Macaca mulatta: one gene and its partners. The protein of the gene in region 2 purifies or fractionates together with the protein of the main gene of each other region. This does not show direct contact. Links are inferred from orthologs where the notes say so. Each region holds a gene or a part of one and is shown on either strand. Other genes may lie near its edges.

Region 1 (4,789 bases), on a different chromosome or scaffold from region 2:
CTGAGTGCAGTTCAGTGCCAGGTATATGTTGATTGCTCATTATTCTGAGGGTTTTATATGACTGTGGATCAACTTAACCAGGGCAACCAGCCACCACAGAATTAGTTAAGTCTCTTGCAAACTGGAATGAGAGCTGCATATGCCTCTGAATCCATTGTGTATTTTATCATTTAAATTCACATTAATCCTAATCTGAAGGAGTAATACAGAATAATTATTTTGCCTCAATAAATCAGACTGACTCTTGAATTGTTTACCAGTAAAAAAATGAAACCAATATTTAGAGAAACTCCCTTCATAGTCATATACTGCTTTCTTTGCCACATTACCCAGTTAGAAAAATCATTTTCTCTAAAAAGATACTATGCCAAACCCTATGTTCCTAAAGAATTTACCAAGTTTGAGTTCTTCACTTGATGATACTTTCACAGGAAGCGGTATCAGCTGGTCAAGTGTTCCACCGTTTCCCAGTTGTCCGTCTTTTCCAGAACCAAAGGAAAAGACCTTTCCGAAATCAGAAACATAGGCAAGCGTGTGCCACCTATTAAATAAAAGCACATATGGTCAATCCTTAATTATCCACAATGATGAGAGTGTTTAGCAATACAGTAAATTGCCAAAACTATGTTACCCAGTGAAAGTGAAACTAAACATCTCCTAAAGGATGAAAACCATCTGGAAACCAAGAAATCAACATGTACCTGAAAAGACTGTGGAACCCAAAGGCCACTCAAGACCATGATGTCATACTTTGGCGAATGGTGTTCCCTTTGTTGGAACAAGCACCTCCCCTTGCCCTCTGCTCATTTTTCAACTTCAGTTTGAGTCACCGTCACTTGGAAACCATCTGAGTCCCTTCTCTTCCCATCCTGGAAGACTCAGTTGAGTTCCCATTTAATTTCTCAAAGACCTTTACCACACTGATTTCCTATTTTGCTTGTTTGTATCTCCACTATACTGTTGTGTAGCAAGGAATCTGCCTTGCCCAGAGAGGTCTGGCTGGTGCCCAGTTCCTGGGAGGTAACCTCTAAACCCACAGAATTTCCCAAGCCCTCAGACCTACAGGAGGGCAGAGCTGGAGATTAAGTTCAACTACCTGGCAATGATTTAACCAATCATGCCTCAGCAATAAAATCCCAATAGAAATCCTCAATCTAGGCTGGGTGTGGTGGCTCATGCCTGTAATCCTAGCACTTTGGGAGGCCAAGGCAGTAGGATACTTTGCGCCCAGAAGTTTAAGACCAGCCTGGTCAATATAAGGAGACCCTATCTCTACAACAAATTTAAAAATTAGTTGGACACGGTGGCACACACCTGTGGTCCCAGCTACTCAGGAGGCTGAGGCAGGAGGACTGCTTGAGCCTGGGAGGTCAAGGCTGCAGTAAGCCATGATAGCACCACTGCAGTCCAGCCTGGGTGACAGAGTGAGACCTTGTCTCAAAACAAACAAACAAACAAACAAACAAAAAACAACTCTTGACTTAGGTGAACTTCTGTGACTGAATGGCAAATTATGTACATCCTGTACTGTCTCCAAAAAAAAAAAAAAAAAAAAACCAGAAAAAACAAAAACAACTCTCAACTTGGGTGAGTAAATTTCTCTGATTGGTTGGCAAATTCTGTATGTCCTGTCACATTATCAGGCCAGAAGAGATAACACCATCCATCTCCTCCAAGGGGAGATGACAGCCACAAGCTCAGCATTTGGAGCCCTCCTAGACCCTACCCTTATGTTTCTTCCTTTCACTGGTACTAATTTGTATCCTCTTCTTGGAATAAATGTGACTATGAGTATAATAGCTTTCAGTAAGTTCCCGAGTCTTTCCAGTGAATTGTCCTGTTAGTAGGGGTATTGCCCTGATGTGCATTAAGACAGATCTCCAACTTGCCTCCTTCTCTTGTAACACATGCTACTCAAAAGGATTGTATGTAATGAAGAATCCAAAGAGGTAATAAGACTGCTTTGGTTAAGAGATACTGAATGAGGTATCAATATTGAAGAGATGTTTGTTTGGTGAACAGACTCATATTCCGATAATTTGGTCTACCTTAATATTACCCATCTATGTAATTCTACTCCAAGATTATAAGAAAATCAGACTGAAAGTATGCATGTTAGTTTTTTACAAGAATGGTTTCAGTAAACTAACAAATGAACCCAACATTCAAATACAGTCTGAATTTTGCTCTATGTTTAGTGAGGGAAAAACTGCCCAAAAGAGTAGTGTATACGGGGGAGAATTTTTTTTTAACCCCATCAACTCCCAATATCCCCCTGGCAAGACGTGCACTGATATATCTGATGACCAAAAAATTAAATAGTGGCATGGTGGCTCACCCCTGTAATCCCAACACTCTGGGAGGTCAAGGCAGGCAGATCACCTGAGGTCAGGAGTTCAAGACTAGCCTGGCCAACATGGTGAAACCCCGTCTCTACTAAAAACACAAAAATTAGCCAGTTGTGGCCGGGCACGGTGGCTCACGCCTGTAATCCCAGCACTTTGGGAGGCCGAGGCAGGTGGATCACAAGGTCAGGAGACAGAGACCACCCTGGCTAACACGTTGAAACCCCGTCTCTCCTAAAAATACAAAAAATTAGCCAGGCATAGTGGCAGGCACCTGTAGTCCCAGCTACTCAGGAGGCTGAGGCAGGAGAATGGTGTGAACCTGGGAGGCGGAGCTTGCAGTGAGCCGAGATTGTGCCACCGCACTCCAGCCTGTGCGATGGAGCGAGACTCCGTCTCAAAAAAAAAAAAAAAAAAAAATTAGCCGGTTGTGGCAGTGCACGTCTGTAATCCTAGCTACTCCAGAGGCTGAGGTGGGAGAATCACCTGAGCCTGGGAGGTGGAGGTTGCAGTGAGCTGAGCTTACATCACTGCACTTCAGCCTGGGCGACAGAGCAATATTCCACCTCAAAAACAAAACAAAACAAAACAAAACAAAAACCTTTAAATAAACCAAGGAGTCTGAGCAAGACATTTTACCTTTATTTTCTAAAAAAGAGCTGTGAAAATTAAACTTTTCAGGAATATTTCACTCAAACCATCACTGACTATGTCTTATACTTTACCATGATCAGCGCAGGCTACAGTGAAAGAACTCTGGTAATTAAAAAGTATGCTGGCCGCAAGGCATTGTGAGAGAGGGTGATTACATTAATGAATAATCCTTTGTGATTCGCACTTTACTTTTCCCAAATAAACAATGACTTATTTTTCTTAAAGACAAAAGTGCACCTGAATAGTTACAAACGTATTTTCACTAAGGAGACAGCAGAAAGTGAACTGCATCTGCTCATTAAAAACAACAACAAAGAAAACAACCATGTATAGTAAAAGGGGTATTACGTTTATCTAAATAATATAAATTAAGCATTTTCACTGATTTGAAAATGTATGATACTTAAATCTCAAAGAAACTGATAGAAATTTTATTAAATTACTATCTAGTTTACTGTATTCATTTTATCAATTTTCATTGATACTTTACAACTTACCTTCCACATGCTATCTGAGTCACTCTATTTCCAACAAGCTCAGCCACCAAACAGGGTCTTAGCTCATTCTGTGTTGAATTATGACCAAGTTGCCCATGTTTTCCAGCACCAAAAGTAAACAGCAGTCCATCCTAAGGAAAGGGAATGTCATATCAGATGCTAGAGAAATAAAATAAAAAAGTAGTATTCACTGATGCAAAGTGAATAACTAATAAAAAGCACTGTCAAAGTAAAGTTCCTAAATATCAGAAGGACAGTCCTACATGTAGGAAGTGATGACCTTTCTTCCCTGGGAAACACTAGCTTCCCATACAAAATGTTCTTCTAAAAATACAGCCAAAAAGAGACAAGGGTACACCCACCTGTGTGAGCAGGGCACTGTGAGAGCCACCACAAGCGAGAAATTCAACTTTCTGATTGTCTAGTGCTTCAATAAGGGAAGGAGAATCTTTACCTATGTAAGGAAAAAAATAGCTGAAGTGACCAAAAGGAAATGCTGAGTTTCACCCTGCAGTTACCTGGACTGCTGCTTCTCAACCCAGCAACAACAGTTCTCGTGATATTCTGACAAGAAAGGCTCTATGTTGCCATGTTTAGGATCAAGTTCTATACCTCAGGGTGAAGGTGGGACCAGTGGCCAAAAGGGTCACACTTAGGGGCACCCACCTGTGAAAGGGTCAAACCACGTCCTAAAGCCTGTTCTCAATTCTGACTTCATTCACTTTAATTGCAGCACATTAGATATTTCCAATACCCATCTAGAATTACTTTTAATGAACATAGCAATTCCTCTTTTTTTTTTTTTTTTTTGAGACGGAGTCTCGCTCTGTCGCCCAGGCTGGAGTGCAGTGGCCTGATCTCAGCTCACTGCAAGCTCCGCCTCCCGGGTTCACGCCATTCTCCTGCCTCAGCCTCCCGAGTAGCTGGGACCACAGGCGCCCGCCAGCTCGCCCGGCTAGTTTTTTGTATTTTTTAGTAGAGACGGGGTTTCACTGTGTTAGCCAGGATGGTCTCGATCTCCTGACCTTGTGATCCACCCGTCTCGGCCTCCCAAAGTGCTGGGATTACAGGCTTGAGCCACCGCGCCCGGCCCTCCTTTTTCTTTCAAATTATCTACTAGTGTCATCACCTCACACTACCTCTTCTTTTCTTCATGATTATTTTCATGTCAAAGCACTCAGAGATTCAGCCAAAGTAGTTTAACGGCTGCTTTATTCTCTTCTCTCCTTTGAATATTTTTCTAACACTGACTTATTGGCTATTCTGTGTAATGAGCATTGCACTGTGTCAGAG
Region 2 (4,141 bases):
GAGTTCAGGAGAGGCCCCTGGCTCAGTGCTTCACTCACCCATTGTGTCACGGGGGTGAGGTGGGGACCCAGACACAAGGCTGGAGCCAGGACAGCCCCTGCTGGGCACACAGTGGTCCTGGTGCAGCCAGACTGGGATCTCCCCACCTGGATAGGGACCCCCACAGATGAGGGGGGACTCTGCGTCTCCAGCTGGATCCTCCAGAGGGCTCTGAAAGCTGAGGTCCAAGTGCCCAGAGTCTGGACTCTGCGTGTCCCTCCATGCCCCATCCTCGCTGCGTCCTGGCCAACAGTTGGCTTCTGGGAGGCTCATTTAGCAAATTGGAGTAGGAGAGCTAGAGAAGGGTGCACCGTTGGGGGACGGGTGTAGCTTGTACTGAATTGGGTGCCCCCAACCTGGGACAAGCTCTTCTTCCTGGATGGTGTCAGCCTCAACTCCAGGCGCCCCCACTGCTGGCCACGGCCCCTCATTCACGCAGAGCCTTGAGGGGATGTGCTTAGCCACCCAGGCTGTCTTCTACAGCTGGCCCCAGTGGTGATGTGAGCACTCAGGACCTGTCTCTATCCCTCCCTCGCCCAGCCCAGGCAGGTGGAGCAGGCTGTGCAGGCTGGGCTAGGGACAGCTGAGGCCCCCGGCCCCCAGTTCCTGTGGAGAGCCTGCCTCACAGCCCACTGGGCAGGCCCCAAGGACTCACCCCGCACAGCTTCCAGGGGCCCACTGGGAGCCTCCCCCGTAGCCTTTTGATTTGAGCAGGCTGGTCCCTGCCTAAGCTGTCTGCTGTCCCAGATGGAGGATGGGCAGGATGGGCTCCAGCAACTGTGTCTCTTTTTCTTTCCCTAGAAGTTAATTTCCCAAAGGGTGGGGAGAGCTGTCTTACTTCAGTTTGGTAGGGAGGAAGCTCCGTATTTTGATCCCTCGAGGCTGTAACTGCAAACCCTTATCCTTTCACTTGGCAACCAGGCCTGGTCACCAGGATGGACCCTGGGATCTCCCTCCTGACTCCTCCCGCCACTTCACTAGGGGTCTGAGGCGGACGCTGGAGGAGGGTCACGTGCAGACACAGAGGCAGCCATTTCTCTTTACAACATTTATTTCCAGCCCTTGATCTTGCTCGAATGCTGGTGGAGGCCCTTAGCTCTGCCCGCCAGGCTCTGTGCCGCCTCCCCGCAGGCGCAGATTCATGAACACGGTGCTCAGGGGCTTGAGGCCGTACTCCCCCAGCGGGAGCTGATTCTCCAGGGGCTTCCCCTCGAAGGTCAGCCAGAACAGGTCGTCCTGCACACCCTCCTGCCGGCTCACTTGCTGCTTCAGGTGGGCCACAGTCTGCGTCAGCTGTACCTCGTAGGTGCTGCTCCGGCCCTTGTCGTTCCTCACCAGGATGCTCAGAGGTTCATCGCACTTGTCCACCACCAGCAGGACCGTGCTGCCGGGGCCCAGGCCCTGGTTGGCAAGGGGAACCCTGTCCTGCAGGGTGGCGCCGCTGGGGTGGACAGCCAGACGCTGCTGGAAGGCATGCACGCCGATCTTCTGGGCGATCTTTGCCTTCAGCTCTGACACCGACATGGAGTTGCTCAGGGACACCTGGAACTCGTTGCCCCCCAGCATCTTCACCTTCAGGTCCCAGCTCTGCAGACATTACACAGGCTCAGAGGCTGCCGCACCAGTCCCAGGCCCACGACACACAAGGCCCTGGCTGCTGGGCGAGCTCCTGTGCCCAGGGACAGTGCTTCCTCCTGTTTGTCCTCTACATCCCATCAGCAGGGACCCCAGGCACAGAAGGCACTGAGGGGTCATTACTAGAAGGCCAGCTGCCCACAGCCATCCGTGGCCTCCCTTTACCTGCTAGGGTGCCCCTCTGTGCCCACCCTGAGGATCTCAGGGGTGACCTGCTTTCAGGAGCACACTTAGAACCTGGCCGAGCTCTAAGCAGCTCTGCTCTCCCTGCAACCCTGGGAGACCTTGGCTGGGGGAGGGAGCTGAAAATTGACTGGCACAGAGGCCTGCCCCCCCCCGAGCCCCCACCTGTGACATCTCCCTTACCATGGCTGTGGGCTGTGGGCCACGGGCTGGGGGAGACAAAAATTGATTGGCACAGAGGCCCCCCCCACCCAACACACACACACCTGTGACATCTCCCTTACCATGGCTGTGGGCTGTGGGACGCGGCACGAGCTCCTGTACTGGCAAAGATGAGTTCACTGCCTCTCAACTGCCGGCTCCTGCAGGCAGCAGCCAGCCCTGTTATAAGCCTGAGCCACACACGTCAGGGGGCGTGGCCGCGCGAGCCTGCTCCGGTGGCCAAGTTTCGGTTTCCTTTTCCCAAGGCATGCCCCAGAGTGAGCAGAAGAAACAAAACAGAATGGCCGAAAGACGGGGAAAAGCAGAAGGGGGTGGGCAGGGTCTCAAAGGCACTGTCAGGGCCGGGGACTCAGGACGGCGGACGGCATCCCCACCCCCACCCAACACCCTGGAAACACCTAAATATCGAGCATTCCAGGTCCTTCACAAGATGCACTAAAGCTGGTTGAATGCCGTGGCTCACTCCTGTAATCCCAGCACTTTGGGAGGCCGAGGTGGGCAGATCACCTGAGGTCGGGAGTTTGAGAGCAGCCTGACCCACACAGAGAAACCCCGTCTCTACTAAAAATACAAAATTAGCCAGGTTTGGTGGCGCATGCCTGTAATCCCAGCTACTTGGGAAGGTTGAGGCAGGAGAATCGCTTGAACCTGGGAGGTGGAGGTTGCGGTGAGCCGAGATCGCGCCATTGCGCTCCAGCCTGGGCAACAAGAGTGAAACTGTTAAAAAAAAAAAAAAAAAAAAAAGCGCTAAAGCCTTCACATGAACTAATGGTTTCATTTTCCATTTACCAACTTGCAAACAGTAAACATGGAAAACACCTCTATGGTTAATTCAGAAACAAAACCTCCAAACTCCCCAGAGATGACAACACTTGGTTTAGGGCAGTATTTGCCCAGGTTTGGTGTTTTTTGTTGTTTTTGTTTTTTTGAGACAGGGTCTCACTCTGTCGCCCAGGCTGGAGTGCAGAGGTGCAATCCCAGCTCACCGCAGCCTCCACCTCCCTGGCTAAAGGGATCCCCTCACGTCAGCCTCCCACGTAGCTGGGACCACAGGGGTCCGGCTACTTTTTTGTATTTTTAGTAGAGATTGGGGTCTCGCCATGTTGCCCAGGCTGGTCTCGAACTCCTGGGCTCAAGTGATCCACCTGCCTCGGCCTCTGCAAGTGCTGGGATTACAGGTGTAAGCCACTGCGCCCGGGCCTCAGATTGTTTTTTAATAAAAGAGACCTATCTTGTATTTTCTACAAAAATGAACTCTGGGACACTACTGAGAAAGTGAAAAGACAATCCACGGAATGGGAAGAAATATTTGCAAATTATCTATCTGATGAGGGCACAGCATCCAGGACATATAGAGAACTCCTACAACTCAATTAAAAAAAAAAAAAAGGCAACTCAATTTTCAAATGGCCAAAAGACTTCAATAGACATTTCTCCAATGACATAGCAACGGCTGTAAAGCGATGCTCAACATCATGATTTGGGGAAATGCAAATCAAAACCCCAGTGAGATGCTATTTCCTACTAGTATGACTGCAATAATAAAAATAAAGGACAGGTCGGGCACGGTGGCTCATGCCTGTAATCCCAGCACTTTGGGAGGCTGAGGCGGGCAGATCACCTAAGGTCAGGAGTTCAAGACCAGCCTGGCCAACATTTTTAGTAGAAACCCCACCTATACTAAAAATACAAAAATTAGCCGGGCGTGGTAGCACACACCTGTAATCCCAGCTACTTGGGAGACTGAGGCGGGAGAATCCCTTGAACCCAGGAGGCAGCGATTGTAGTGAGCCAAGATTGTGCCAATGCACTCCAGCCTGGGCAAGACAGTCTCAAAAAATAATATAAAATAAACATAAAGGACAGTAACAAGCATTGGAGAATACACACAGAAGTTGGAGTGAGTCCTGGTACGTGCATTGCTGTTGAGAATGTAAACCGTGTGGCCACTGTGACGCTCAAAACGTCAAACAGAATTATCGGTAACCCAATAATTCCACTCCTAGGCATGTGTGCAAAAGAATTGAGAATAGGTGTTCAAATATTTGTATACAAATGTTCA
Region 3 (4,336 bases), on a different chromosome or scaffold from region 2:
TTGGTCAGGCTGGTCTCAAACTCCTGACCTCAGGTGATCCGCCCGCCTCAGCCTCCCAAAGTGTTGGGATTACAGGCACGAGCCACCGCGTCCAGACTAGGACAGATTTTTCTTCTGGTGCCTTGGACATTAAAAATTTGACTCCATGACCACAATGTTGACTCTGTGTGTGAGCATTGTATGTGTGCATAAAAATGTTGAAAGTTCCTCAATAAATGAAGAGACATCTGTTTTTTCTACACGTGCATTTGTGAAGAATAAATCGTTCTCAAGACCCCGTCTCTTTGGGAGACAATGCAGTGGTTACCGTAACAGTTTTTGAACCATCTCATCAAGACTTAGGTTTTCTGTCACAGTATTACAGTTGACCACAGTTATAAAGCTAGATGCCCACAATTACCAAGCATAGTGACAAGCATTTATACATTTCACTTTCTGACCTATTTCTTTATGAATATGTTTCATCTGCTCATCACCATTATATCTGTGCAACTGTTGTTGGTATACCTGAGTGTTTACCTTGCAAAAACGTTACTATTCCCTATTTTATCGTGTAAAGTAGCCTATGAAATGTTCTGTCGTGTTGTTTCTCAAATAAATATGCTTTTTTAAATGTAAGTAAATTTTTGAAGAATGTTTAGCATTTCTTCCAGAATTGTATTTTGGGATTTTGACCTTTTGGGATTGTGATTTTCAGAATTTTAGACTTTAGGGATTTTGATCTTTGGAGACTACAGTATTTTATTCAAAATTATGGTGTTCAGGACTGTCTTTTATGTCCCAAACCCAATCAACATATATTTAGTAATTTATTTTCTCTGCACTACTCTCTCTCTGGGTGAGGCATCATTGTACTGACCCCAGAAGCACTAAGTGATTGAAGAGGACAGTCTATTTTCTGTTTGGAAAAAAAAATTCAATACTAAAATCTTATATTAACAAAAAGCTTTTTTTTTTTAAATCAAACAAAGTACATAAAATAAAGGTGGGCACAACGCTAAGTGATCACCAACCAGGGGATGTTTGGGATTTTTAGATGCATTAAAAGGGAGTATAGAGAATATCCACCTGCAAATAAGATTGTATTTTTTTGCAACCCTATGATTTTCAAATGGCTCCTAAACACAGTCTTTGGTCAGGATAAGGGATTCTGCAGGCCTAGCCTTACCGTTCACATCAAATATAGGTGGAGGGATGCCATATTCTCCACATTTGGAGCTCTGTCAGGCTGCTCCCTTTCCACCAGTCCTATCCAGTGATACTGCACACACAGGGTGAGGCAACAGGAGACATCATACTGATGTTGATCAGGAAAGGAAGAAGGTGCAATCTTACTTCCAGGATTTCACATTTGGAAGAATGCCTTGGGAGTGGTGGGTAGCCCAAAGCTCTTCCCAGGAAAAGAAGCAGGCACAGGGCCCAGGACTCAGGCTCCATTTTGACCCAACGTTTATTGTCCTTTTACAACATGTCATTTTTTGGTTTAGAAACTGCTTGTGATTAGTTTTCCAACATTAACTCAAAAGCATGTAAAATAAATCAACCTACTCTCTATATAAACACCCAGCAACTGTGGCCCCTACCCACCTACCCAGGTTGGATAGGGGGAAGGGAGGGCTCGGGCAGCATTGAGTCAAGTGCAGATGCTTTACTGTGGCAGGTGGCAGTAGTGCCTTGGTTCACACCCCACACAGGTCCCCTGCACTGCCCCAAACTACAACAGAAATGGCATAGGCCCAAGGCCCAATTCCCTGTTGGTAATTCACTCTCCACCTACCAAATGAAAATCGCTTTTATTTTTTCGCTTTTGTTTTGTATTTTTGCAACAGAAACCCCCTGTCCAGAGTCAGACTGTAGCTGAACTGTTCAGACTGAAGAATGGAGCAGGCTGTGGGCGCACCCCTGGTCCCTCTCCTGGGCAAGCGCCCCCACCCCCAGGGAACAAGGTCCGGGCAGGCCAGCTCACTGCATGCTGGCCACCACCACTTAGCCATACAGGTCATCGTCATTGTCTTCTGTGTATACACTGCCACCTGTGCCGCCTCCACTGCCCTGACTGGGGCCAGCTCCACCCTGGTTCCCTGAAGGGAATCTGTGTACGAGAGCAAAGCCAAAAAAGACGGTTAGGACAGAGCCTGTGTAAGATTTCCACAACTACCCCTCTAGCTTCCTTAGGACTCCCATTCCCTTTTTGGTGTAGGTTCCCAAAGTAACTTAAGCACTGTCTAAGGCTCCCAACCAAGTTACCTGAAGCTGCCAAAGCCCCGACTCTGCTGAAGGGTCTGGGCGAACATCTCGTACTTCCGAATGTCATTGTCACTGACAGAACGGCGCGCAAAGCGCATGGCTTCTTCAAAGTGATCTCGACGGATCTCAGGCACTGGATCATCCTCTTCTACCTCCTATAGTTGGTAAACACAGATCACTAGGGCTTAATACTTTAAAATGCCAATAGTTTTCAGTGTTTACCACATTTGGATTACATCCTACCCAGTGGTCTCACTTTCAGTGACATATATACTCTAAAATATACTCAGGGTTTCCCAATGATTGCAATCCTACTACTAGAGCACATTATTTGGGCTGCTTATTCCCTTTATTCAAATTATACTCTCTTCACAGCCCAGCTCAAAACCTATCTCTTCCATTGAGAGGCCAATTGCTGTGACTTATGAGACTGCTTCCTAGGATTAGTTCATAAGTAGTTTTAAGCTTTTATGGGAGAGAGAAGGTCACAGACCCTTCAAAACAGAAAGAAAGCCATTTATTTGCTCATTCATTAAGTCCCATGTTTGGAACTTAATGAATTAATTAAGGGTAACACAGGACATAGTGGAAAACAAGTGAGATGACAGAGATCCTACCTTTATGGAGCTTACACACACATGAATTTGTCTTTTCATTTTGGGAGGACTGTGGACCCCATCCCTTCCCCAACCATCAGGGACAGGTATATGGGTCTCATCTCAGTTCAAAACCTTGCTCTGCAGCTCACGCCTGTAATCCCAGGACTTTGAAAGCCCAAGGCGGGCGGATCACAAGGTCAGAAGATCGAGACCATCCTGGCTAACACGGTGAAACCCCGTCTCTACTAAAAAAAAATACAAAAAACTAGCCGGGCGTGGTGGCATGCACCTGTAGTCCCAGCTACTCGGGAGGCTGAGGCAGGAGAATGGCTTGCACCTGGGAGGCGGAGGTTGCAGTGAGCCGAGATCGCGCCACTGCACTTCGGTCTGGGCAACAGAGCAAGACTTCGTCTCAAAAAAAACAAAAACAAGAACAAAAACCTTGCTCTGTTTGGTGCACTCTCATACTTTGATTTCCCTCATGGAGCTTGGTTTAGACTGAGAATGGAGCCTGCCCATCTCTTCTCGGCCTTATTCCAAATTGAATGGATTCACCTCAGTATTCTTTATCTTTGATGCCCTATTAACATTCTTCTCAGATGATCTTTTCAACAACTTCTACTCTCAACTCTAGGGCATGGTGGTGGCTGCTGCCTGGCTCCCCATGACTGGCACATCTGGGGAAAGGATACAGACTCACCATGGCTGATGGGTTTGTCTGCCTCTCTCGTTCTCGCCTAATCTCACTTTCGATGGATTCACGGATGGCCAGCTTGCAAGCACGCTGGCAAATCTCTGTAAGGTCAGCTCCAGAGAAGCCATTAGTCATTTTAGCCAGGAACTCCAAGTCCACATCCTAAAAGAAGCAGCAGAGCTACCTTAGCATTTAGCCTCTTCTCTCTTGAGATACACAGATCTTTGGGCCATCCAAGCACTCCCAACTAGTTTGCCCCTTCTTTGGCCACCCCATTTTATTCCTGATTCTAGATTATCTTAATACCCTCAAAAATTCTACCTTCCCTTTAGACCAACCCTAACCCCAAAGCAATCTTGTCCAGAACCCAAAGAGCACTCTATACCAGACTGAGGACTCATACAAGTCTCCCACAGCCCATGATCCTGCACCTGCCTTGGCAACTGGGGACTTGCGCAGGTTAGCCTTGAGGATGGCAACACGTGACTTCTCATCAGGAAGTGGGATGTAGATGAGCTGATCAAGACGGCCAGGTCTGAGGATGGCAGGATCAATGATGTCAGGCCGGTTGGTAGCGCCAATGATGAACACATTTTTTTTTGTGGACATGCCATCCATTTCTGTCAGGATCTGGTTGATGACTCGGTCAGCAGCCCCACCACCATCTCCAATGTTACCTCCACGAGCCTTGGCAATTGAATCCAGCTCATCAAAGAACAGCACACATGGAGCAGCTTGGCGGGCCTGTAGGAGGAATGGATTGATTCAAGCATTAACAAAACTAGATCTCTCGGCC

The links.
Region 1: the proteins of ISG15 (region 2) and HERC5 purify together in Homo sapiens (affinity purification with western blotting; 3 studies listed by BioGRID, with this or other methods). This does not show direct contact. The link is inferred for Macaca mulatta from reciprocal best matches to the Homo sapiens genes ISG15 and HERC5.
Region 3: the proteins of ISG15 (region 2) and VCP purify together in Homo sapiens (affinity purification with mass spectrometry, with the first as the bait; 3 studies listed by BioGRID). This does not show direct contact. The link is inferred for Macaca mulatta from reciprocal best matches to the Homo sapiens genes ISG15 and VCP.

The regions. Positions count from the first base shown.
Region 1 is NC_133410.1:97,784,048-97,788,836, reverse strand, and holds part of HERC5 (E3 ISG15--protein ligase HERC5), read right to left. Parts: intron 3,951-4,789; coding exon 3,859-3,950; intron 3,628-3,858; coding exon 3,497-3,627; intron 542-3,496; coding exon 396-541; intron 1-395.
Region 2 is NC_133406.1:239,667,305-239,671,445, forward strand, and holds ISG15 (ubiquitin-like protein ISG15), read right to left. Parts: upstream 2,231-4,141; 5' UTR 2,145-2,230; coding exon 2,142-2,144; exon of another isoform or gene 2,044-2,141; coding exon of another isoform or gene 2,041-2,043; intron 1,627-2,040; coding exon 1,132-1,626; 3' UTR 1,075-1,131; downstream 1-1,074.
Region 3 is NC_133420.1:64,668,738-64,673,073, reverse strand, and holds the end of VCP (transitional endoplasmic reticulum ATPase), read right to left. Parts: intron 4,285-4,336; coding exon 3,976-4,284; exon of another isoform or gene 3,919-3,975; intron 3,788-3,918; exon of another isoform or gene 3,703-3,787; coding exon 3,547-3,702; exon of another isoform or gene 3,469-3,546; intron 2,426-3,468; exon of another isoform or gene 2,403-2,425; coding exon 2,248-2,402; intron 2,093-2,247; coding exon 1,987-2,092; 3' UTR 1,433-1,986; downstream 1-1,432. UniProt on the Homo sapiens protein: Necessary for the fragmentation of Golgi stacks during mitosis and for their reassembly after mitosis. Involved in the formation of the transitional endoplasmic reticulum (tER).